Linked DNA regions of Ovis aries. The protein of the gene in region 1 purifies or fractionates together with the protein of each later gene. This does not show direct contact. Links are inferred from orthologs where the notes say so. Each region holds a gene or a part of one and is shown on either strand. Other genes may lie near its edges.

Evidence for each region.
Region 2: the proteins of PRKAR2A (region 1) and AKAP9 purify together in Homo sapiens (affinity purification with western blotting; 3 studies listed by BioGRID, with this or other methods). This does not show direct contact. The link is inferred for Ovis aries from reciprocal best matches to the Homo sapiens genes PRKAR2A and AKAP9.
Region 3: the proteins of PRKAR2A (region 1) and AKAP8 purify together in Homo sapiens (affinity purification with western blotting; 3 studies listed by BioGRID and IntAct, with this or other methods). This does not show direct contact. The link is inferred for Ovis aries from reciprocal best matches to the Homo sapiens genes PRKAR2A and AKAP8.

What each region holds. Positions count from the first base shown.
Region 1 is NC_056072.1:51,130,807-51,138,920, reverse strand, and holds the start of PRKAR2A (cAMP-dependent protein kinase type II-alpha regulatory subunit), read right to left. Parts: upstream 4,770-8,114; 5' UTR 4,478-4,769; coding exon 4,225-4,477; intron 1,973-4,224; exon of another isoform or gene 1,739-1,972; intron 1-1,738. UniProt on the Homo sapiens protein: Regulatory subunit of the cAMP-dependent protein kinases involved in cAMP signaling in cells. Type II regulatory chains mediate membrane association by binding to anchoring proteins, including the MAP2 kinase.
Region 2 is NC_056057.1:10,029,164-10,037,157, reverse strand, and holds the start of AKAP9 (A-kinase anchor protein 9), read right to left. Parts: upstream 4,401-7,994; 5' UTR 4,169-4,400; coding exon 4,121-4,168; intron 1-4,120. UniProt on the Homo sapiens protein: Scaffolding protein that assembles several protein kinases and phosphatases on the centrosome and Golgi apparatus. Required to maintain the integrity of the Golgi apparatus. Required for microtubule nucleation at the cis-side of the Golgi apparatus.
Region 3 is NC_056058.1:7,590,964-7,599,141, forward strand, and holds the start of AKAP8 (A-kinase anchor protein 8), read left to right. Parts: upstream 1-4,036; 5' UTR 4,037-4,096; coding exon 4,097-4,115; exon of another isoform or gene 4,116-4,816; intron 4,817-7,005; coding exon 7,006-7,044; intron 7,045-8,178. Other genes in the region: AKAP8L (A-kinase anchor protein 8-like), read left to right, coding at 3,134-3,229, 3,319-3,636. UniProt on the Homo sapiens protein: Anchoring protein that mediates the subcellular compartmentation of cAMP-dependent protein kinase (PKA type II).

The DNA.
Region 1 (8,114 bases):
GGCACAGCCACTTTAGGAAAACAATTAGTTTCTCAAAATATGAAGTATAAGAGTTACCACATGGTGCAAGAATTCTACTACTGTGTATATACCAGAAAGAAATGAAAACCCTCATCCACACAGGAACTTACACACAGGAGTGTTCACAATAGCATTATTCGTAACAATAAACAAGTGGAAACAACCTAAGTGGCCATCAATTGCTGGATGGACAAACAAAATGTGGCAGATTCACACAATGGAGCAGGTTTCAGCAATACAAAGGGATGAAGCACTAATATACGCTACAATATTGATGAAGTTTGAAAACATTATGCTAAGGGAAAGAAGCCAGAAGCAAAAAGACCATATACTTTATGATTCCATTTAAATTAACTGGCCAGGACAGGCACATTCATAGAGACAGAAAGGAAATCAGTAATTGTCTAAAACTGAGGAGAATAGGGATGTGGGCAGGTGATAGCTGAAGTGTACGGGGTGTCTTTTGGGGGGGGTGATAAAAATGTTCTAAAACTGACTGTGGTGACAGTTGTACATATCTTGTAGATACAGTAAACCAATGAACTAAACATTTTAAATGGGTTAATTATGTGGTATATGAATTATGTCTCCAAAATCCAAAAAAGAAAAAAATGCTGAGACCCACAAATATGTTTTACTGTAATTACAGAAGTGAATCAAGTCTAGATGCCAAGTTATTATTCCTATGAGGATGCAGTCAGAGTAAGTTATTAATAAGTCAAGAAAGTCTGAACTCTTCAGGCTTTCCCAAGAATGAAATATTCATTCTAATACTTCATATTTGATGTGTTGTTTGATATCAAACTGTTGTTAAACTAAACCAATAACAATTAGTGAAGCTTTTTGAGTGTTTCTAGCAACATACACTTTCATAAACTGAATTGGTGGTTAGCCATTCAGGACCTTACTAAGTGAAGTGAAAGTGAAAATCACTCAGTCGTGTCCGATTCTTTGCAGCCCCATGGACTATACAGTCCATGGAATTTTCTAGGCCAGAATACTGGAGTGGGTAGCCTTTCCCCTGTCCAGGGGGATCTTCCCAACCCAGGGATCGAACCCAAGTCTCCAGCACTGCAGGTGGATTCTTCACCAGCTGAGCCACTAGGGAAGCCCAGGAATACTGGAGTGGATAGCCTATCCCTTCTCCAGGGGATCTTCCTGACCCAGGATTAGAACAGGAGTCTCCTGCACTGCAGGCAGATTCTATACCAACTGAGCTATCAGGGAAGCCCTACTAAATAAAGTCTCTGATATATTATGGTTCTCATACTATATACCCTATTTCTAATTTTAGGTACTGTGGACTTATTATCCTAATGTTCCTAATCTCTGGATATGCAATGTGTTCTGTATGATGTTACAGAAAAGCCCGAATGAACTTTTCGGTCATCCTAATCCTAGTATTTCTTATCTTTTCAAAAATATATGTTTTCTGCATAACATAAAATTTACCATTTCAACCACTGAAGTGTACAATTCATGGTATTAAGTACATTTGCAACGTTGTGCAACCATCACCCCTATCCAACCTCAAAACTTTGTCATCATTCCAAACAGAAACTCTGCCCTCATTAAACAGTAACTCCCCACTGTCCACTCTCCCCAACTCCTAGTAATCTATTCCGCTGTCTCCATGAATTTGCCTATTCCAGGTACTTCATATAAATGGATTCATACAATATCTGTCCTTTTGTGTCTAGCATATTATACTAGCATAATGTCGTCAAGAATCATCCACGCTCTTCCTCTTTTCTCTTCTCCGCCATCTTATGTGCGGTTGAGTTCTCTCCTCACCATATCATCTCACAAGACTTTCAGGATCAAGTGATTCCTGGCCAAGAAACAAAAGCGGAATTGGCCCATTCCTCAATGGATTCAAATGAAAACTGGCAATAAGATCAGGTACAATTCCCAGAGAAGACACTGGAGAAGAACCAAGCTGGGTCTATAAGAAGCCTCACATAAAAAGTGGCACACATGTTAAGGCAACTTTTTTAACCAGCCAAATCACAGTGAGAACATCACTACTAAGAAAAAAAAGAACATCACTACTGTAATACTTGGCTCCTGATGGTCTTTGTTTCCTCACTATCAGTCTATGAGACTCAGTAATAAATATGAAACGTTGTTGGAAAAAAAAAAAGAATCATCCATGCTGTAGTATACATCAGAATTTCATTCCTTTTTAAGGATGAATAGTGTGCCATTGTACATATATACCACAGCTTGTATATATAACACATTCATCTGTCTATAGAACACTTGGGCTATCTTTTGGCTGTTGTGAATTAATGCAGCAATGAACACCAGTATACAAGTATCTGTTTGACTCCCTGCTTTCAGTTCTTTGGGGGTATACACATAGTGGGATTGCTTGATCACACAGTAATTCTATGTTTAACTTTTTGAGGAAAAGTCAAACCGTTTTCCACAGCAGCCAGGACATTTTACATCCCCACCTGCAGTAAGCAAGAGTTCCAATTTCACTACATCCTCACCAACACTTGCTCTTCTGTTTTTTTTTTTTTTTCCATAATAGCCAACCACATGGTTATGAAGTGGTATCTCACTGTGTGCAGTGTATTTTTAGTCTATTATCTGTAAACAGAAGTTCACCTTGTGTTGACTGCTATAATTATACTTAGCACAGCCACTGAAGAGATATAAACAAAAAAATTAAATACCAGTAAAATAAAGCACAGGGTTACAAAGATTTGAGTCAATTCAACTTTGAAAAATATATAAAAAATGACCAAAAAATGAAGACATGACACAAAACTTGGAAATTCTGTTTTACTCACCTGTGACTAATAACTAAAATAATAACATTTGGGGTAAATATTGTTGCAAAGCAAGTTACAACTTTGTGATTTATTGTTATGACAGTGAAACAAATGCAGAAGTCACTTCTGAAATAAACCTTTTAAAAACACATTTATTCCTGGGAGATTGTGGTCACTAACCCTATTTTAAAGATAAGCAAATTTGAAATCAGACAAGTTCCATGGCTTATCTTAGACCACAAAGCAATTCTGTGGCAGGGGTTGGTTTGTGAAATAAGTTCTGATTTCCAGGTTTAAGGTGAAAAACCCATAATTTAATGTGTATTAAAGCCAGGGTAACATGGCCGAACAATTTCCATTCTTAGCGTGAATAAACTAAGTTGTCCACGGCACTGAACCTTACAACCTGCAATAGCAATGACCAATAATTAACTCCCTGCCAGCCTAACTTACATGCGGATTCAACTCAAAACTAGGTTGTTGGGGGTTTTCTCAGTGCGAGCTAGTAAACACTAAGTCTCTAACTTTGTCTCTCAAGTGTTTTCATTGTTTTGTTAAATTCTGGCTGTTCAAAACTAGGGTAATTCTATCGTTAAACTGACAAAGTCTGTGTTGAAGCCATCAAGGAAAATGGAATTCCTCTTTGACAATCTTGCTTAAATCAGATATAGAGGTGTTACTAGTCGTCTTTCCTGCACCACATATGAGAAAAAAATGTATTGTTGACCCTCACCACATTTGATCCAGTGATTTTAGGCAAATTAAATATATCTTTATACATATATCTTTATACATATACTGAAGTATCCAAGACTGAAAGAACGTGAAATGCTGGGACTTGCTTTAAAATACTTCAGCAAAGGAGAAAAAATATATATAGAGAGATGAAACATTTGTGACAGATATTTCAACTGTGTAACGTGGGTGACGGTATACAGGGAGTTCAGGTCACCTTTTCTATTTCTGTCTACGCTTAAAGTTTGCACGATAACTTTTCACAAAATGAGTTCTTTCCCAAGTTACCGTCCTGGTTAGGAAACTCGAGTCGGTGTAGGCGAACGTTCTTGTCTTCGCAACGAAACCGGGCGAAGCTTCTCCAGCCGAGGCGGCCGTGGGCTCCACGCCCCTCCGGCCCTGCGCCAGCACGCGGGCCGAAAGCGCGCACGTTTCCCTCGAGCTGAATCTGACAACTCGCTCGCTGCTTTCCGGGGCTGGCAGGATCGCCGAGCTCAATTTGGAAGTGGCTCACGCCGGCGGCTTGGGGAACCTGGACGAACTCCCCTCGCGGGCTCCAAGGTCCCGGCCCAGGGTGGCGGGCCTGGCCCCTCGCAGCCCCTCTCTGGATCTCGAGAGACCCTCGCCCCCCGGCACCGCTTCCTCGGTCCCCGTACCGCGAACCCCTGCCCAGCCCGCCGCCTACCGTCCAACTCCTCTTCGTCCTCCGACTCGCTGTCCGCCACCGCGTCGGCGACCAGGCCAGCGCCGGGATCGAAATCCTGGGAGCCGGAAGGAGGGGCGGCGGGCGGGGTGGAGGCTCTGGAGCGGGCCTCGCGCAGGCGGGTGAAATAGTCCACCGCGAAGTCGACGAGGTCTGGTGGCCGCTGCCGCAGCACCTCCACGGTGTAGCCCTGCAGCAGCTCCGTGAGCCCGGGCGGGATCTGAATGTGGCTCATGCCGGCGGCGGCAGGCGGGACCGGGCCGCCGGCGGCCACCGCCTAGGCGGGCGCTCCCTCACGCCGGCCTCTCGCCCGGCGCCCCGCGAGGTCTCCTCACGCGCGACCCGGGTCGGGCCTTCCTCGCGCCACGCCGCCCTTTGGCAGGGTGTGTGTCTCCGGGCCCCACCACCCTACGCTACTCCGGCCGGCCTGGCGCCGCCGCCGCTGTCACTGGGCAGCCGCCGCCGCCGCCGCCGCCGCCGCCGCCGCCGCCGCCGCCGCCGCCGCGGGCACCGACGAGCGGGCGAGCTGGACGGGCGGGGCGGGAGCCCGGGTTGTGACGCACGCGGCCGCGAGCGTGCGCGCTCCCGCCGAGCGCCGGCCCTCAGTGCGCTTGCGCCAAGGGGCCGTCTGCTCGCCCGGCTACCCTGGTGATCTTCAGTCCAGGCGCAAGGATGAGAGGTCTACCCGCTAAGCGGAGTGTTAGTGCCTCTTATCTTTCATTTCTTCTTTCAGCAAACGCTAAGCTCCAACCATCTGCCCGCGCTTACTGGGTACCAGGGACATAGCTGAGAGCCACAGGCAAGAATGCCACCTTACCATCTCGGTGTGCTTCCAGATATGGTGGAGAACAAGGGGACCCTCTTTAGGGGGTGACATTCAAGCTGACTCCGAGACCTGGGCAGGATCTAACCACAGGAAGAGCCAGAGGAAAGCCATGTGGACATAGAGGACAACAAGAGTGAAGACCAGGGAAAGTCACAACCACCCTGACCGTTGGGTGGCATGGTGGAATGACCATAGGACCCTCTAAAGTCTGGCAGGAGGTCTTTGAGATGTCAAAGAAAGAAGGCCTTGTAGACAGTAGGAGTTTCGATGGTATAATAATTTGGGAGCCACAGGCAGATAAATCTGGAAAAATGAGTTAGAAAATATGTTCCTTGAGAAAAAGGAATAAAGCCTAGGGCAGGAAGGACTACTGTGCCTGTTTCTCTGCTTGAGGGTTCCCATCAGGCTTCCCAGGACTAGGTCTGCACACCTATTCTCTCCCCATACTCTGCCCTGGACCCTGGGCCCTGGGCCAGCATTGCTTGATGGTGTTTCAGCAGATGGCAAGACACTGTTATCCTTTGTCCCTAGGAAGGGGCCTAAGCAATCTGGAGAGGCCATGCTATTTCCCAAGCTGCACTTTCACCTACAGCAGATTGCAAAGGAAGAGAAAAAAGTGGAAACCTTCCCAGTGTGTTCATAACACAGCCCAGGTGCTGACCAAAGTCCCAGTAAGCATGGGACAGCATCCTGTCTCTCTGCTGGGCCAAGTCAGAAAGTGACTAGATATAGCCTTGGGAATCTGAAAGGCATTTGGGATGGTTAAGCTCTGCCTGGTAATTATCCAGTATTAATTAAATCCTCACTAGGACCTCTCATTTTGTCTTGGCACACATCCAGGAGCTCAGTGCTGCTGGGAACTGAGCATCTAGAAGCAGGAATACCTGATCCCCACTGGTGCAGAAGCCACCCAGCCCCCAGGCCAGGCAAGTCTGTGATTCCAAAGAGCAGTGTCTCCCTGGACAAGTTTCTTGACTCCTGGGAGAAGTTCTGAACCATCAACTTTGTTAGGGGAAGAGTAGTGTCCAGCTCATTCCCTGCTGGGGTCCTTATTGCAGTCTTGCTAAAGATTTACTAAATAAATGAATAATAAATTTTCACACAGCAAGAAGAGCCAGTGAGACTGCTCTCCTGACCTCAGTCTCAGAATTAGGATCCTTTGATTCAAAGCTATGTGTCTGATCTCAGAATATAAAGACTTCAGTAAGGACGGGGCAATGAGAAGCTGGAGGGGCAGGGTTCCTCAACTCGCCTCTGCTCCTGTGTAGACTGACCCTTCCAAGTTTTCCAGGAGTCAGCCCATACTCGAAACCAAGGTGGGACTCCCACTGCCCTGCCACACCTGGGGATATGACCTACTTCAAGAAATCCTACCATTAACCTTTTAGAAAGGCAACTTCGCAACTCCACTCTCTAGTTTTCCCATTTGTCAGGTTTTATACATTTGAAAGGGGGAAAGGCAGCTATACAATCAGGACTCCAACTTCAGTTGCAAACAGGGTAAGAGGAAGCTACTCCAGGACTAACGACAGAACTGACTGTGGGCAGGTTCTCTCAGTCACTCCAAGGACCCCCTCTCAGCCCCTGCCTGAAGGAGGTTGGTCCTCCTGGCTTAGTCTCAGATACCCTAGCTTGGTCAGCCAGCCGGCCAGCCAGCTAGCAAACATGGCAGTCAAAGGCATCTTCAGACCTGGAGGAAATGAGGACCACAGAAATCGGGAACTGCATAGCTGCTCCTCACCTGTCTCCAAAGACCAGCTTCAGAGGAAGGATGGAGAGCCAGCCTCCAGGTCCAGCTTGACTCTCCTCCCCTTGCACCTGGTCCTCAGAGCTGGGATCCATCTCTGACCCTCTGGGGAAACCCTTCAATAGCAAGGGGGAGTTCCCAGGGCCTTCATGAGGGTCCAGCTGAGCTGGCAAAAGAACAGGGCCTTGGAACAAGAGAGAATAAGAGAGGCCCAAGCCCCACATTTTCGATCCTCACCCTTCTAGGATTGCCTTCATTCAAGCCTGTCCACCGGAACCACTGGGGGTTACCATGGCAACTGAACCCGAAGGCAGCCAGTAACTGGGAAACAGCTGCCAACAGCCAGTAATGGTGGGTGGGAAAGGTCAAGAGCAGAGACCCTTGAAAGCAAGAGAAATACAGAGACCATGGTAGACAGAAGAGGAGGCCCCAGAGTCCTGCGAGATGCTCTACTCAACACAGATATACTCACCACCCAGAAGGTAGTCATCATTTTGCGCGGGCTGCCACACTACCAACCTCAGAACAGACATGGACACCATGGGGCCAGTTCTCAGAATTGTTTACAACTATGCTTAGGAGAAGACTCTTGAGAGTCCCTTGAACTGCAAGGAGATCCAACCAGTCCATTCTGAAGATCAGCCCTGGGATTTCTTTGGAAGGAATAATGCTGAGGCTGAAACTCCAGTACTTTGGCTACCTCATGCGAAGAGTTGATTCATTGGAAAAGACTCTGATGCTGGGAGGGATTGGGGGCAGGAGGAGAAGGGGACAGCAGAGGATGAGATGGCTAGATGGCATCACAGACTCGATGGACGTGAGTCTGGGTGAACTCCGGGAGTTGGTGATGGACAGGAAGGCCTGGCGGGCTGCAATACATGGGTTCACAAAGAGTCGGACATGACTGAGCGACTGAACTGAACTGATGCTTAGTCAAGTGGGGCACCTGTCTAGTCTAAGAGCAGTGAGTCTGGTGATAATGAACATGGGTAGGGTACCAACTGCTATTTCCAATGGAACAGTTATTTCCTGTGCTCTTGACAGGTTCATGATTTAAAAGGTTTTTTCCCCCCCGACTCTTTCCAGGAAGAAGGGAGACATTCATAGTCCCCTAGACTTCTCTGGAGGACACCCTGCTCTTGGCCCAGACCCCCTGATGCAGACAGAGGGCATCACTGTCTGCCCTCTGATGCCCTCCACCTGGTCTGGAGGACTCACCCCCAGCAGGGACACCTCCCTCTCCTCTGCCCCAAGGGGCTGCTTCTCTAAGCCTAGCCCAATCCCCACCCATCTCCTGGG
Region 2 (7,994 bases), on another chromosome or scaffold:
TATCAATAACCTAATACACAACTTGCAGAGAGCACTGTCCTTTTTGTATAGAACTAGCACTATTTTTCAAACGGAAAATCCTCATTAAACAATCATATAATTATTACTTACTGAATGCAACAGGCAAAAATTTTTATAATTATTCAACAATGCCAATTATATTAAATGCTGAATAGCTAATAAAAACTTGTGGTTTTATAGAATTCTGCTAGTAGAATGTTAAAAAGTATACATTCTGTGAATATGCAGAAGTAATTTTACACTAAATATACAACTGTCCTCTAATTCTGTTTGCTAATATTACAACACTTTCTTTTCCAAAAAATTGTAGATAATTTTACTTGGAAAAAACTGAAGTCACTTCAAGTGGAGTTAGAAGTCTGGATCAACACAAGGACGGCCTGTGTAGCGCTGTCCTTGTCAGCTCCTTGCAACGAGGTTAGCCTGGTTCTGAAAATATTTACTTAATGCAGTAATGTCTCATGTCTCCACAGGTCATGCGTCTTACTACCTCAGTACTGAGGAAGTAATTGAGGACCCAACAGCAAATGAAAAAACCAACAAGGAGCAGAGAAACGAAATAGTCATAAAGCGCATTCACAAGGCTCCATCAGTGCTTGGTTGTTACAAACGAAACCATCCCCTCAAGCTACTCACAGGAAATCTAAAACAGCAAATTAAGGGAGGAGGCAGGTTAGATGGAGATAGGCATGTTCATGGCAATGAGAATCGACAGAGAAAAAGCATAAGATCTACAAAACCAGAAAGGAGATATATAAATGTCTAATAACAGAGAATCCCAACTACAGAATGGAAACAGCACTGGAGTAAGAACTGTAGTTCCAGAACTACACTGATGCCAGGGCCCTTGGGAAGCCTAGTTACCCTAGGGCTCATCTTCCTGTTCTGTATAACGATCAAACAATATTAACATTCTCTTCAACATACTATAATTGATAAGCTTTTACTGTTTTCAAAAATGGCATGTAAACATTTTTACTGGTCATAAAGGAAATATACTGCAGAGAATCTGGAAAATACTAGGAGTGTAAAGGAAATTAAAACTGCCTATAACCTACCACCCAGAGATACCCATCATTTATATCTTGGTGTATTTTTTTTCAGGTGTCTTCATATATAAAAATTGTATATATATCTTTTTTGGTAACATTGTTATCAATCTGGTGTTATTTGTGGGCATTTTCCCAAATCAGAATGTTTCTGCAGAATTATTTTGATGGCTACATATATGGCAATTTGGGCTTCCCTGGTGGCTCAAACGGTAAAGAATCCACCTGCAATGTGGGAGACCTGGCTTTGATCCCTGGGTCAGGAAGATCACCTGGAGAAGGGCATGACAACCCACTCCAGTATTATTGCCTGGAGAATCCCATGGACAGAGGAGCCTGGTGGGCTACAGTCCGTGAGGTTGCGAAGAGTCAGACATGACTGAGCAACTAAGCACAGCGCACATACCAAATTTATTCTTCTAACATTGTGAATTTTGGTTGGTGTAACACATTTTATAAAGTATACTATACTGAATTCACAACAGGTCATTTTAAAAATGATCATTTATAGATACAGAAAGGAAGTAAGTTTTTCAATGAATAGTTTACCAAACACCAAGAAGAAAATTTCCAAGTTGTGGTCTGTAAAACTAGATTAGCAAATACAGTATTTAAATTCAATGAACAAACAAGACATTCAGAGAACCAAGTATCTGAATAAAGTTTTAGAAATGGTTGTTTTCAGTGATCTCTAATGCCAGCAATGAGACTTCCAATGACAAGAATTCTGAATTACTGTTATTAAATTACAATATGCTAGTCAAGCAGCACATATTAACAGCTCACGGTCACTCTGCTCATTCATTCACTAAGCAAATATTTACTGCATACTTACTATCTGATAGGTGTCAGGCTAGACTGCATTAAATATCAATTATCAAGAACCTTCTTTGTAAAATAGTCTTAAAAATGAGGCAGCAACATTTAACACATTTTAACAAATGACACAATTCGCCACAAATTCTATAATACCACCTCCCTCACTGTACTTAGTACCCAGTATCTGTCCTGCTAAACTTTGAGCAACTTCAGAAAACAGACTGTCACCATCTCTGTATTTACAGCGCTTGGTGTAAAACAGGAGTTTGACACAGGTTTGCGTAACGACCCTACACTCACAACCCAAAGTTTTTAAGTCCTAATATAAAAGCATACATTTATACAAAAGAAGTAATGTATACACTATTTTCGAACTATGTCCATGTTCTTACTGTTCATGTTCCTATCAGCCCTCGTAACCTTAATGGCTGAAAAATATTCTATCATGCTTAAATAATATAGTTTAGAAAGTGATTCTCCTAACACTGTCTTTGGAGGTTGCCCAGTGTTTTTATATTTTGGTGCCAATGCTCCAGCAAACACATCTTGCCTTACATGTCTTGAATTCTTTTCTGACTAGAAAAATTCAGCTCAATTCTAGAAGATAATCTTCCACAATGAAAGTGAATGTTAAAAGGATAAGATTTTTATACCATAGGCAGAATTTTGAAAGACAAAAAACACACATACACACAAAGAAACTAGAATTCTTTTTCGCCAAACCAAAGCAATTTAAATAAGTCCTCTGTTATGAGAGGTGTTGTCCAAAGTAAACTATGTTTTTTGGACGGCTTCATATATATTTAGGAGAGATACTTCAGGAGGCAGATAGTAAAAATACTGAGGTAACAAGCAAACAAACAAAACGTCTAACTACAACGTCAATGCTTTTGGAAGGAGGTACACACTTTTCCTCCACTTTCTTCGATTCATAGATTGTGCTCAGATCCTCAAGACTGCAGAAATGTAAGCAACGTGAGATCTTAAAGATGCCTTGATTTCCTTTCCCTGTGTATAGATCCTAATAACAATCTACCTGATACAAACACTTAAGGTTTGACCTTAGATAATACAGAGATAGTTTATACATTTATATTAAGTCAAGAAACTTATGTTCAGCATCTACAATTGTATCTCTGCAGTGTGGTTCTTCAGTGATTACTGAAATCAGACCCAGTCTCCTTTTGCTTATTTGGAGGGAGGAGACAGAGAGGAAAAGAAACAGTTAAACTATTTATAATTTAATTGAGATGCAAGTATGACTGTGAACAATCATCTCTAATAAAACAATATACAGTAAACTGTAATTTCATCATAGGGAGGAAGGGGTCCTTTTGGCCAGTCAAAAAAATATGCTCAAGCAAGTAATTTTAAATTCTATTTCTTTTAATAGTATTAATATTTAATATTATTAATATTCTATTTATATTTAATTTATATTTCGTCTATGTCAAATTGTTCATGAAACCCAGTGAATAATAAAACCTTTTCCATTGTTTCCTTTACAGTCTTTTTCATACACACATACAAGATAGGGACTCGACAAGAAAGCAAGAATTCTATAGGTGATGCTAGGAATATGGACCCTTTCGTCCCCGTAAGTTCCATTCACAGACTGCGGTAACATTCCACACAATACAGGGCGCATGCCGTGACAAAGACCTCCGAACACAAACATACAAAGCCATGCTTCTAAAAACGCCCCTACAGCGAAGTTCACAGCTGGCACTTGTGGCACACTCAAGCCACGACTGAGGCAGCTGTCACAGGCCAATCACACACTCAAGAGTGCCAGCGTGCCACCTAAGAAAGCCAAGCCGATGATGAGCGTACAAATCCCCACCCGAATAAAGAAGAGCCCCAAATCCCCACCCTGAAAAGCACAATGTCTGCACAACCCAGAAAACTCCCTCAAAACAAGTCAAAGGTTGGAGATTCAGAAGCAAGCTGTAACAGCTTATACAGTAAAAAGGAGAGGTTTTATGTGGGCATTCACGAGAAAGGAGCCACACCACCCAGTCATCACGGAAATAACCGCTAGGTAGTGTCTCACCAGGCTTTTTCAATTAGAAAAGGGAGACGAGGGCAAGGCGACGGCAGACGCCGCCGCACCTCCGTCCCAGGCAGCGCGCCGGGGCTGCCAAGCTGAGGCCTCCGCCTCGCAGGACCCCTGCCAGCCCTCCCCGGCCACCGCCTCCCAGCGCAGGCCGGGCGGCCTCCGGCTCTCTCACCTTGGCTTTGCCAGCCTCCAGCTTCTTCTGTCTCTCTTCGTCCTCCATAGCTTCTGCGGGGAAGGCTGGGGGGAACACAGGCAGGGGGTCGGGGACGGGAAGGCAAGGTCGGTTCCAACGGGGGTGGGACCGCAAGCTCCGCGGCGCAGGGCGCAGGGCCGGGCCGGGCGCTCGCCCCTCCCGGAGCGGAACCAGGCTGCGCGCTCACTGGCTGACCGTCCTCAGCCGCACGGGCCGCGTCGTCACCACCGCCGCCATCTTCGTCTCCACGTAAACACACGGCGGAACGGGAGGGGGGAGCACGTCGTCTGCGCAGCCGCCGCGAATCCCGCCGCGCCGGGCAGGTGCGCCGGCGGCCCCGCCCCGCCCCGCCGCGGCCCCGCCCCGCCCGTCGCGGCCCCGCCGGCCCCGCGGCCACCGCGGCGACCCCCTCCCGGCCTCCCGCCCGCCGCGCCCACTGGCGGAAACCCGGCTCTCGGGGGAGCACGCTTTCCCCGGGGCGCATGCCGCTCCGCGGGTGGAGGCCTGGCTGAGGAGGTGGGAGAGAGGGCGCTGTGTCAGGAGCGCCGGTCGGACCCCCACCGTCGTCCAAGGGACTCAGTGGTCCTTTTTAGAACATTTGAGATTTTTCCAGTTTCAGAGCAAAGGAGAAAGTACAGGTGCCTAACGCTGAAACTGGTGAACGCTGAAAAGCCCCAAAGGAAAAGACGGGGGCGAAGAAGGGATTGGGTTGGAGAAGTGAGCCACCGGATGACAATTTTTCAGCCTAGATTGACTGGTCAACCCGGAGGACTGGCAGGGCGGCCAGTAGCCTTCACTCCTTCCTGAGCCGAAAGTGCCTCCCTTTTTCCTCACATGAGGCTGCCCAATCGCCTGTTCATCTTCGAGGCCCACCTCACTCGCCGCCCTGAATAGCTTTTCTGATCTCTTTGTTTCCTCCTGTCTTAACTCAATCTCCTCCCACGAGCTTCCCCTTAGCTATGGTGCCCTGAAAGGCTCTAGGCTTTGCAACCTGGGTTGAAGACAAAGCCAGTGTAGACTTTTTCACTTAAATGACCTTGAACAAGTTACCTATCCTCCTCTAGCTTACCTGGAAGTTTTGGAAGGCTTGTTAACATATGTGAGTTAACGTATGTGACTCCCCCTGGCATATCAAAATATCCTTAATGTCAGTTCTCTTCTCCCTGTATTTCCTTTATGTACTCTGTGTTTTAATAACAACTTGTGCCCTTCTTAATTGGAGAAGGAAATGGCAGCCCACACCAGTATTCTTGCCTAGAGAATCCTGTGGATAGAGGAGCTTGGTGGGCTGCTGTCCACAGGGTCCCACAGAGTCGGACACGACTGTAGCGACTTAGCATGCATGCACGCATTGAAGGAAATGGCAACCCACTCCAGTGTTCTTCCCTGGAGAAGCCCAGGGACGAGGGAGCCTGGTGGGCAGCCGTCTATGGGGTCGCACAGAGTCGGACACGACTGAAGCGACTTGGCGGCGGCAGCAGCAGCTGCCCTTCTTACTTCACCTCCTACTCCCAACTCCTTAATGGCAAAGATTGTCTTGCTCACCTTGGCATTACTAAAAAGACCAGGGAAATGCTTTGCACTCAATAAACACTTGTTGGATTGAATTGAGCCATTTTAATAATTTTAGCATGACTCTCCTTCCTTTATTTTCATATCTTCCCTCATTACTTCCTTTTTCTTCCCCATCATCTTACCTTCAAATCTATTCCTGGGATGAACTAACTACACTTTTTAATTTCTCTAGTTGATCATGTTTCTCCTTTGTTTTGGGTTAGGCTGGACTGAAAAACTAGTATGTGTGAACTGGAATAAGCTATGCGTTAAATCATACAAGTGGTGTTGAGTGAAATTTGGGTTAAAAAAAGGAAAAAGAAGAAAAGCAAAGATCTTAAATCTACCACAAACGGAAGACCAGTTTTGAATAGTCCCGATTTAGACATTCTTAGAAGGCAATGGCACCCCACTCCAGTACTCTTGCCTGGAAAACCCCATGGGCGGAGGAGCCTGGTAGGCTGCAGTCCATGGGGTTGCCAAGAGTCAGACACAACTGAGCGACTTCACTTTCACTTTTCACTTTCATGCATTGGAGAAGGAAATGGCAACCCACTCCAGTGTTCTTGCCTGGAGAATCCCTGGGACGGGGAAGCCTGGAGGGCTGCCGTCTATGGGGTCGCACAGAGTCGGACACGACTGAAGCGACTTAGCCGCAGCAGCAGACATTCTTAGATTTAAGACAAAGACTTTTTGTTCTCAGACCCTGTAATGCATATGTAATTGTGGCAGCTTGTAACACCCAAGTATATATTGTCCTGTTTTCCTAACCTGAATTGAGAAGTGGATGAGATTAAGCATTTTATCATGGAAATAAATAATTCAAATAATAAAAGAGATAATTTATTGTCACCCGCCAAGCTGAGAGTAAAACTAGGTCTGGAACTAAGTGTTCTAATAGTGCAGTGATTTAAATACTGCCTGGACAGAGGGATTGTGTTTGTCGGTTCTGATTGTCTAGGAGGAGGAAGCCCTATAATATCTGACAAGATGTCTGTTCCTGCTTGTTAATAGATGCTGCTTTTCAATAACTAAGGAATTCACTTGTTTGTTCCACTATGTGCTGAAAACATTCAAGAAATATTTGTTCCAGTATGCGCTGAAAATGTTCAAGAATCTTTTAAAGGAATAAGATCATTTCAGTGTTTCCTGTTACTAAGACCAGCCAATCATACATGTTCGTCTTATATTAATATATAATGGGTGCTCAGTAAAGGTTGAAAGTTGCATGTTGACTTCTGTTAGAAGGGCAAATATGTGGCGCTAGTGCTCAAACACCTCCTTCTGGCAACTATTCAAGTCCTATCATTCATTCACATCATATCCTGACAAGATACCTGAGCAAAGAATTGCAAGAAATGAGAGAGTGAGCCGTGGAGATAGGTGAGGATATTGCAAGTCTAAAGATCCTGAAGCTAGATCATGACTGTCTTGATAAGAGCGGGAGGCAAGGGTGGCTAGAGTAGAGTGAGCAAGGAGGGAAACAGTAGGAGATGAGATCAGAGAAGTAACAGGAGGCCAGATCCTGTAGAGTTCTGAAGGTCCTTAAGGACTGGCTTTTACACTAAGTGAGCCTGGGAGCCATTGGAGAATTTTGAGCAGATAGGTGAAATGTTCTGGATTATGTTATTAAAGGACATCTGGCTAAGAGCAGACTGGACTATGGATCATTTTGGATGCTATTGCAATAATCTAGACAACAGATAACTAGGAGTTTGGACAATGGTAGTGGTAGTGAATTAGACTCTGGGTATATCTTAAACAGGGAACTAAGAGTGCCACAGGAGTTGCAGATTGCATATGAAAGTTGAGATAAAAAGAGGAGTCAAAGTTGACTCTAATGTTTTTGTCCTGAGCAACTGAAATGATGGAGTTGCCAATAACTGAACTGGGGAAGAGTAAACTTGGAGGAGACCACGAGTTCAGTTTTGAACTTGATAAATTAGAGGCATATATTAGGTATTTGAGGAGTAATGTCAAGTATAGCTCTGGTTATCTGAGTCAGGAGTTGAAGAGAGGTTCATGCAAGAAATATCAATTTGAAAATAATCAGCATGTAGGTGGCATTTTAAGGTGAGGGCTTGGATGAGATCATCTGGGGCCATGGTGTCCAACACAGTAGCCATTAGCCACATGTGACTACTGAACATATGAAACATGGCTTGTCTGAACTAAGATATGCTATAAGTGTAACACATTTTTTAAAATTTTTTAATTTTTTAATTTCAATTTATTAATTTTAATTGGAGGCTAATTCAGTTCAGTTCAGTTCAGTTGCTCAGTCATGTCTGACTCTTAA
Region 3 (8,178 bases), on another chromosome or scaffold:
CTTTGTTTTTGGAACTCAGTATTAAAGTCAGTTGCAGACCCCTTATCAAAAACCTGAATGTTTTTTAAATAATTTTTAGATTTCAGAACAGCTACATGATAGTATTGCCAAAATCCCAAGCAGAATCTGGGAAAGTGCCTTGCAGTTAAACCATCAATAATTCTTCAAGTGACTTGTTTAGGTAGGATAAATAAAGATGGTATAAAAATATGTCAGCTCATAATTTACATCAAATAAATTTTAGAAGAAAAACTTTTCCTTTTGGATTTCAGATTTGCAGATAAGGGACTGTAGACCTCCATGTCAGTTTGATGGGGGGAAACAATGGTTTATCTTACACATTTCTGGAAAGGAAAGTTGGACTCATACCTCATACCATATATTAAATTTCAAGATCTTAAATGTGAGGGGAAAAGAACAACATTTCGAAGATTGTTCACCTTGACATTAAAGGAAGCCTTCCTGAACAAGCTAGGAAACCAAGAGACCGCGGAAGAGATGACTTCATAGAAATCCGAACAGACAGCCCAGTGTGCATATCGGATTCGCTGGTGCGCAGGGAAATGCCATGGGAGGCAGCATACATTCTTTTCGCTCACCCTACAGGAAAAACATTCAACAGTGGTAATATCTAACCTTGATGGAGAGGCGGGGACAAGTACATTGTTTTAGTACAGATGGGAAAAGCACAACCTACAGTGTTTTTGCAGGGTACTCAGGCACTGTCACTTTAGGGAACGTGTTTAGTAGGATTAAAAGCACTAGCATGGAAATATTTAAGTATATCCTTCATTTGGTTATTATAGCAAAAATCTCAAAACTATGTTAAGTTTGCTCAGTCAGGAGACATTCTGGTGTGTCCGTCTGTGCACCTGGAGGGAGAAGGGTAGTGTGTCAGCAAGTAAGATGTAGTAGTATCCTAATTGTGCATCTTTTTTTTTTTGTCCATTCATAAAATTTTTATTCCACATTATACTTGGATTATTCATAAAAATCTCATAAGACATTAAACAAAGCCATCATCTCAAGTTATTTCCATGTTAACTATTTTTTTACAGCACATCATGTTAGGCAAGTATATTAAAAAAAATCACAAAAGCAAAAACCCTAAAATTTAAACATATGAGATTTTTGTTTTATTGCTGTGCTTGATATACATGAAGTAATAGATATCAAGCAATTCACTTTTATTGCATCTTTGTATATTTGTTCTTGAGTTACCTGAATAGAAAGAACGTGAGTGTAGCAAAAGCGACAAAAGCAAACAGCTGTTGACTTTACAAATAATGGAATGTGACACGTTTCTGCCCTTATCCAGAGAAAATTGAGTCACAGCTAAAGGAACACTTCTGTAGCTGTAGTCAATGGTGTGCACATTGAGAGTGCGTATTCCACAGATAACACATGATTTAACATATAATATATCCACGGGATATCCATTTCTACTACAGCCTTGTAAGTGCTCCAGAGATTAAAGTCCCCGCAACTACAGCTGTGATTAGAACCGGTTATCCCTTTTATTCCCCACCAGGGGAAACCAGTATGTAGGCAGTTTTCTTTTGTGCATCTTTAACTTGTTTCATTTTGAGCATACATGAGGACTATTTTCCCCAAGTAAAAACGAAAAAAGATGAAGGTGGGGAAAGGGAATAGAAACAGACAAATGAAGTGATTTTCTGAAATCCGATGTAAAGAGTTGGCTAGGGTTGAGTAGAGGTCCCAAAGGTCAGCTTCCCCACCCCTCCAAAAATAGCTTTTTTTTTTCTGTTTATGGCTTTATACTTGGGTTACCCATTACTTGCGTTAATGATGGAAGTGAGAGTTGCCTTCACTCACAGAGAAAATCATGTAGCATTTTGGTGTAAATTGCCCCAGACACTGGCATGCTCCGCACTCTGTCCCATCACACATTTTATGCCAGGGGAGAGAGAAGCCCTGTTTTAAGACTGCATGGTGTTCTTCTGAACATCTGGTTTATGTAACCACTTTTCCACTGAAGAACACTAAGGTGCTTTCCAATTTTTCACCTCTGCAACCAGTGTACTTGCATGTTCCCAATTTTAAATTTAGGCTAGACTCCCTGGAGGAATTGCTGAGAAAATTTTTACTTTTGATTATTGTTCAGTCGCTGAGTCCTGTCCAACTCTTTGCGACCTCATGGACTGCAGCATGCTAGGCTTCCCTGTCCTTTACTATCTCCCAGAGTTGCACAGACTCATGTCTATTGAGTCAGTGATGCCATCCAACCATCTCATCCTCTGTTGCCCTCAATCTTTCACAGCATCAGAATCTTTACCAATGAGTACTATCACAATGATTTTTCAGAAAATAAACACTTGAGCCTCTCACCAAGAGTGTTAAGTGTCTCTTTTCAACCTTTACATTTGAGGGTATAATTCTTTATCTTGGGAATCTTATGGATTAAAAGGATGTATATCACTTAAGGGCTTCCCTGGTGGCTCAGATCGTAAAGAATCTGCCTGCAATGTGGGAGACCTGGTTTCAGTCCCTGGGTGGGGAAGATCCCCTGTAGAAGGGAATGGCAACCCACTCCAGTATTCTTGTCTGGAGAATCCCATAGACAGAGGAGCCTGACGGGGCTACAGTCCATGGGGGCGCAGAGTCGGAGACGACTGAGCAACTAACACTTTCGTATCACTTAAACATAGTGTTTGACATTCTTTTCCTGCTTTTATATCCTCCCTGTTTATCCTGCAGAGTTGTGTGTGTTTTAGGGCAGTTGCCCTCTTGTTAGGAGTTGCACATTTGGTTTTTAGTGTTTGTTCACTGCTTATAAATTTTTATGTAAGCAAATCAGATCGCTGCAGTACAGCTGTAAAGACATGACTTTAATCAGTTACAGTAAGTATGGCGTGGAAAGATGGACCATTGGAGCAAAGATCAAATCGGGTCTTGGCTCCATGCTTGTAGAGTGAACCCACGCTTGTACTCAAGGGTCCACTTACAGACCTAACGCAGTCTGCTTGTAGTCATTGGCAGTGCTGGGTCCCGAGGTGGAGGTGGAGAGGTGCGCGGGTGTGTTTGGGCTCTACCCGATCCGGCGGTGTGAGGGTGGGAGGCTTCTTTGGAATGCCTGGGTCAGCCTCTGCAGCCCTGCCTGCCTTGCCCGCAGCTCATGATGGAGCAGTCTAAGAAGTCCTCGCTCATGGTGGCTCGCAGCATCCTAAACAACAAGCTAATCAGCAAGAAACTGGAGCGCTATCTGAAGGTGAGGTGCACGCCCCTGGCATGCCGGCCCAGTCCCCAGCCGCGACCCCGCGGGTTCTCCCTTTCTTCATGTCGCGCCCCTCTCCGCAGGGTGAGAACCCTTTCACTGACAGCCCAGAGGAGGAGAAGGAACAAGAGGAGGCCGAGGGAGGTGTCCTTGATGAGGGGCCGCTGGTTGAAGCGGCCGGGGTCGCGGAGGGTGCAGAGGCCGTGCCGGCTCAGCCCCCAGTGCCTCCAGAGCCAGTACCCGGGGCCGCGTCCCCACCCCCGCCCCCGCCCCCGCCCCCGGAGGAGGACGAGGAGGCCGTGCCCCTACTAGGCGGGGCGCTGGAGCGCCAGATCCGAGGCATCCCGGGCCTCGACGTGGAGGCTGACGACGAAGAGGAGGGAGGAGGAGGCGCTCCATGACTTGGGGCGGGCGGGGCTCGCGGGGCCGAGGCTGCAAGCTGAGTCTAATAAAAGTTCGTCTCATCCCACCTCGTCGTCGTCGTCTTTTGTCTGTGTGCTGCACGGTCCGCCTGGGCGGGGGTCCAGGCCTCACCGCTGGGCTGTGTGTGTCTGCGGGTGCGACCTGGGGCTGTTGGGTTAGGTTTGCGCATTGGCGGCGAAAAGAATGGATACGCCTGCGAGCGGTGAGGCACAGCGCCCAGGAGCAAAACTAGCAAGCTATGAACACCGACCCGGAACAACCGGAAGGCCAGCCGGGGTGATAAAGGAGGGCCCGCCGTGAACTACGGCCAATGGTATCGCGTAGCAGGGGTGACGTATGCGCCTGGTCTACCATTAGAGGACGGCGGGAAGTGCGTTGAGCGCATGCGTCCTGTGATAGCCTAGAAAAAGGAGCTGCTTGGCGGGCGGAGCTGAAGACATGGATCAGGGCTACGGAGGTTGGTGTGGGCGACTCTGCGGGGTGGGGCGGGAAGGTGGTGTCCCGGCACAGTTCCGACGCCGTGCAGGGGGCCGCGGGCCGGAGACTACACCCGAGCGCGGTTACCGCAGTTCGGTCTTGGTGGAGAGGCGGCCGGGGCGCGCGCGCGCAGCTCATTGGACCTCGGCCCTGTCGTTCCCGGGGCGCTGCGTGCGGATTGGCCGACAGGACCTGAGCACGTTGGCCGAGTTCGGCGGCCCGACGCTGGGGCGGACTTCGGGGGGCGCTTCAGGCATTCGGCGCAGTTTCAGTTTTTCACCCCCGGCTGGGTCGGCCGGGCCCTGCCGAACCCCGCCGCTCGCAGGCCCGGTGTCTCTTTCGGAAGACGCCACAAAATGGCGGCGCCGGGAGGCGGAGCTATGACGGGATCTCGTGGGGCGCGCGGGGTCTGTGGCTTGGGACCGAGACGGGATCGCTGCCTTTTCCCGAGCTGTCGTGCCTGCCTGTCTGGGAACCTGCGGGGTTGGCTGGGGCCTCCGTGTGGCACAGGAGGTCTGGGGCGCTGGTCCCGAAGGCCGTGTGGGCGGCGCAGGTTCGGACCCCTTGCCGCCAGTCGGGCGGTGCAGAGCAGCCGGGCCTAGTGCAGCCTCTGCGGTTATCAGCCTCACTGGGCGACTGTCGCGGACCTGGCTCAAGCACATCTGGGACAAGACACTGAGGGTCAGATGCGGGGTACCTTCTTGATCAAAGCCTGGAAACTCTATGTGCTCTGGGGTCGTGACAGACTGGTGGTTCTCCTAAAGGTTGTCGTCTGTGGTGGCCTGGAGACGCCAGAGGGGCTGTGTGAGGTGGAAAGTGCCCTTTACCCACTTGGATTTCAGGGCCTGCGGCAGGACGGACCTCGAGCGACCTGCTCTGTTTCTGGAATCTGAGCCTCCTAGGAGGCCTTTGCTGCTTGCTGGAAGCCGCGTTTACCTGCAGGGAATAGTTGGAATATGCAGGACTGGGCTTGACCCGGCGCGGATCTCTGTCCTGGCTTATGAGGTTCAGACACGGGCGATCAGATCTTGGCTGCCGCAGGGAAGGCGCGTGTTTTGAAAGGGCAGCATTAGCAGGAGGCCAGCAGCAGAAGCAGAACGGTCCTGGTGTCTGGTGTGCCCGGGTGTCTCCAAGGTCGTTGAGTGGTTCAGCCTGGTTCTCTGGTCTTTTCGGCAGTCAGATTGGATCTCACCCTTCTTTGCCTGCTTCCCTAACCAGATTTTCCAGCTAGTAATAATCCTGCCTTACCTGTGCTCTTAGCTTAGAGGGTTTACACCCTGCTCCCCTTCTACCTACCAGAAAACCTTTTCAGATTCGGTTTAGGTGCAGCGGCCTCCCAGAATCCTTCTGTAGCTTTTCCACCTAGAGTTATTTCCTAAGACTTGTTGCGGTTTAAGAGTTGCTCGTTGGCCCTCGGAGGCACCTCGATCTGGGTCCAAGTCCTCCTCTTCCTGCTCCTTAACATGTTCTTGGGCAAGTGACTTATCCTCTGGAACCCCTGTGTACCACAGAGTGAACAGTACCTATTTCAAGGGTCTTGAGGTTATGTGAATGGTTTATGCTTTTTAGTTAGACCAGTTCCACAGAGTTGGTCAGTTGCTGTTAGAATCACTGCTCTGCTTTTCTGCTGCATAGACGTGGAAATCTGTGTGACGGGAGATAACCTTCAGCAGGGTGACTTCAGTTCAAGTCCCATAACGTCTGAGCCTTAGCTCCCTAGCTCCCTCTGAATGGCATTCTGGGCTCACCAGCTGAGTGTCAGTCTCGTGTGGGCATACAGTAGGCATTCATCTAATGGTTTGGATTGTCTTGGTAGGAACATTCATGCTCCGTTGCTAACTCACGTCCAGCTCTTGCAACCCCACGAACTGCAGTCCACCAGACTTTTCTGTCCATGGGATTTTCCAGGCAAGAGTACTGGAATGAGTTGCCATTTCCTACTCCAGTCCTGGTAGGAGAGAAGGGAAGTATTTGAGAGAGAGGAGGCTTTGCAGAAGTGAAGTCATTTGGCAGGTATGAAAGGTTGCCTGTGCCCAGCTCAGTGTCAGGCTGGAAACACAGGTAAAGAGGGACCAGATAGATGCTGTCATGGGAGTGTCCAGAGGGGCCGGGGGAGCCACTACAGAGAGGAATGCCATCTGATGCCTCAGGACCAGGCTGAAGCCCTGGGACGTCAAGGCCCAGAGGAGCATTGGAGAGTTCAGAGTCAAAAGAAGCGAGGCCTGCAGAGACACAGCTGTTGGCTCCAGATAGTCAAAGTTTATTCCCAGTTAGGCGGTTCTTCCCTGGTGGCTCAGAGGTTAAGCGTTTGCCTGGAATGCGGGAGATCCAGGTTCAATCCCTGGGTCAGGAAGATCCCCTGGAGAAGGAAATGGCAACCCACTCCAGTACTCTTGCCTGGAAAATCCCATGGAGGGAGAATCCCTTGGAGGGAGGAGCCTGGTAGGCTACAGTCCATGGGGTCGCAAAGAGTCGGGCACGACTGAGCGAGTTCACTTCACTTCACTTCATGGCTGCCTGAGGGGGCTGGGGGTGGGGACTGTGTTCTAATGGTGAGTGAGCTGGTAGCTAGTCCTGTGTCTTCCTTAGTTGTGGGTTGAGGCTTAGGTCAAGGTCCCTCAGCAAGCGATGGACCAAACTGGCGCAGAGGCCCATCCCCCTCCTCTTTTTTCTGCTTTGACCTCAGGCAGGTGGAGTGTGATAATGCAAAAGCCAGCTGTGGGATGACTTTTAGGGGGGCATTGTTGTGGTTGTGCTGCCTTCTTGTAAGACTGGCACTCATCTCCTTCAAGGAGATTCCTTTATGCTCCTCAGAAGCACTTGTTCTCTGGTGTGACAAGTATGACTGTAACTCACAAATATGTTCACAGGTTATGGGGCATGGAGTGCTGGACCTACCAACACCCAGGGTAAGTGAGACCTGCTTGTCAGGGAGGCATGGGCTACCCGCCCCCAGCACTAGCATGAACATAGCTGGAACCAGGAAGCCTTTTTTGTAAAGGGCCAGATAGTAAATTTTTTTACTTTGCAGGCTATATGGTCTCTATAGTGCAGAAGCCACCATAGACAGTTTATAAACAAGTAGGTAGGACTGTGTGCCAATAATGTTTACATAAAGACACTGAAATTTGCATACCATGTGATTTCCATTATGTCATCAAACAGTCTTTATTTTAACAATTTTTGTTCTATCTTAAGTAAATAGTCGAGGGTATAACCAAAGATTTTTATAAATAATACTTTCCAGTAGTTTTAGGCTTATGGGATTGATCAGATAGTACATAGAACTTCATATGCACACTCACAGTCTATCTTCGACTCAGGCACAATTTCCTTTATTATTATAGTTAGCAGAATGTGTTACAGTTTATAAGCCAGTGTTCATACAATGTATGGTCTATAGTTTACATTAGTTTTTACTCTGTTGCACAATTCTGTGAGTTTTGACAGATACGAAAATGTGTCTTTTGTCAGAATTTGCATGCTATGAAGTATTATTTTGACTTTTTTTATTTGTTTGTTCCCCAACCGTTTAAAAACATAAAACCCATTCTCAGCTTGTGGGCCCTACAAAAACAGGGCTGTGGACTGGATTTGGCCCTAGGCCCGTCCATGGACCCGGCTCAGGAGTCCCCATCCTGGTACTTAGTGTGTTTGAAGAACTAGAATGTACTCTCTGGTGGGCGAGGTTTTCTGCTTTTTGCCAGCATTTGTTCCAGGGGATTGGTTGAAGGTTTCCTTTGTTTTCTGAGCCTGGAACTTGGCCCTTGCACCACTGGCAGCAGGGTTGCTTTTGAGTCACTTTTCCACCCATCACCTAGTGTCCCAGCAGGAGGCCTTGTGTGTTGCCCAGGCACACGATGTCCCCTGTTCAGTTGAGCTGGGGACGTGATTTTCCACCAGTGCACTCCGTGCTGTTGGCGGTGCCTTAGATCTGGCGCCTGGTGAAACTGGCACTTTGGAACAGCTCTGCCTGGGGGCCTGGCCTGGCAGCCTCTTCGCTGCTGGCCCACGCTGGATGAGCTTCCCGGAAAAAGACTGTA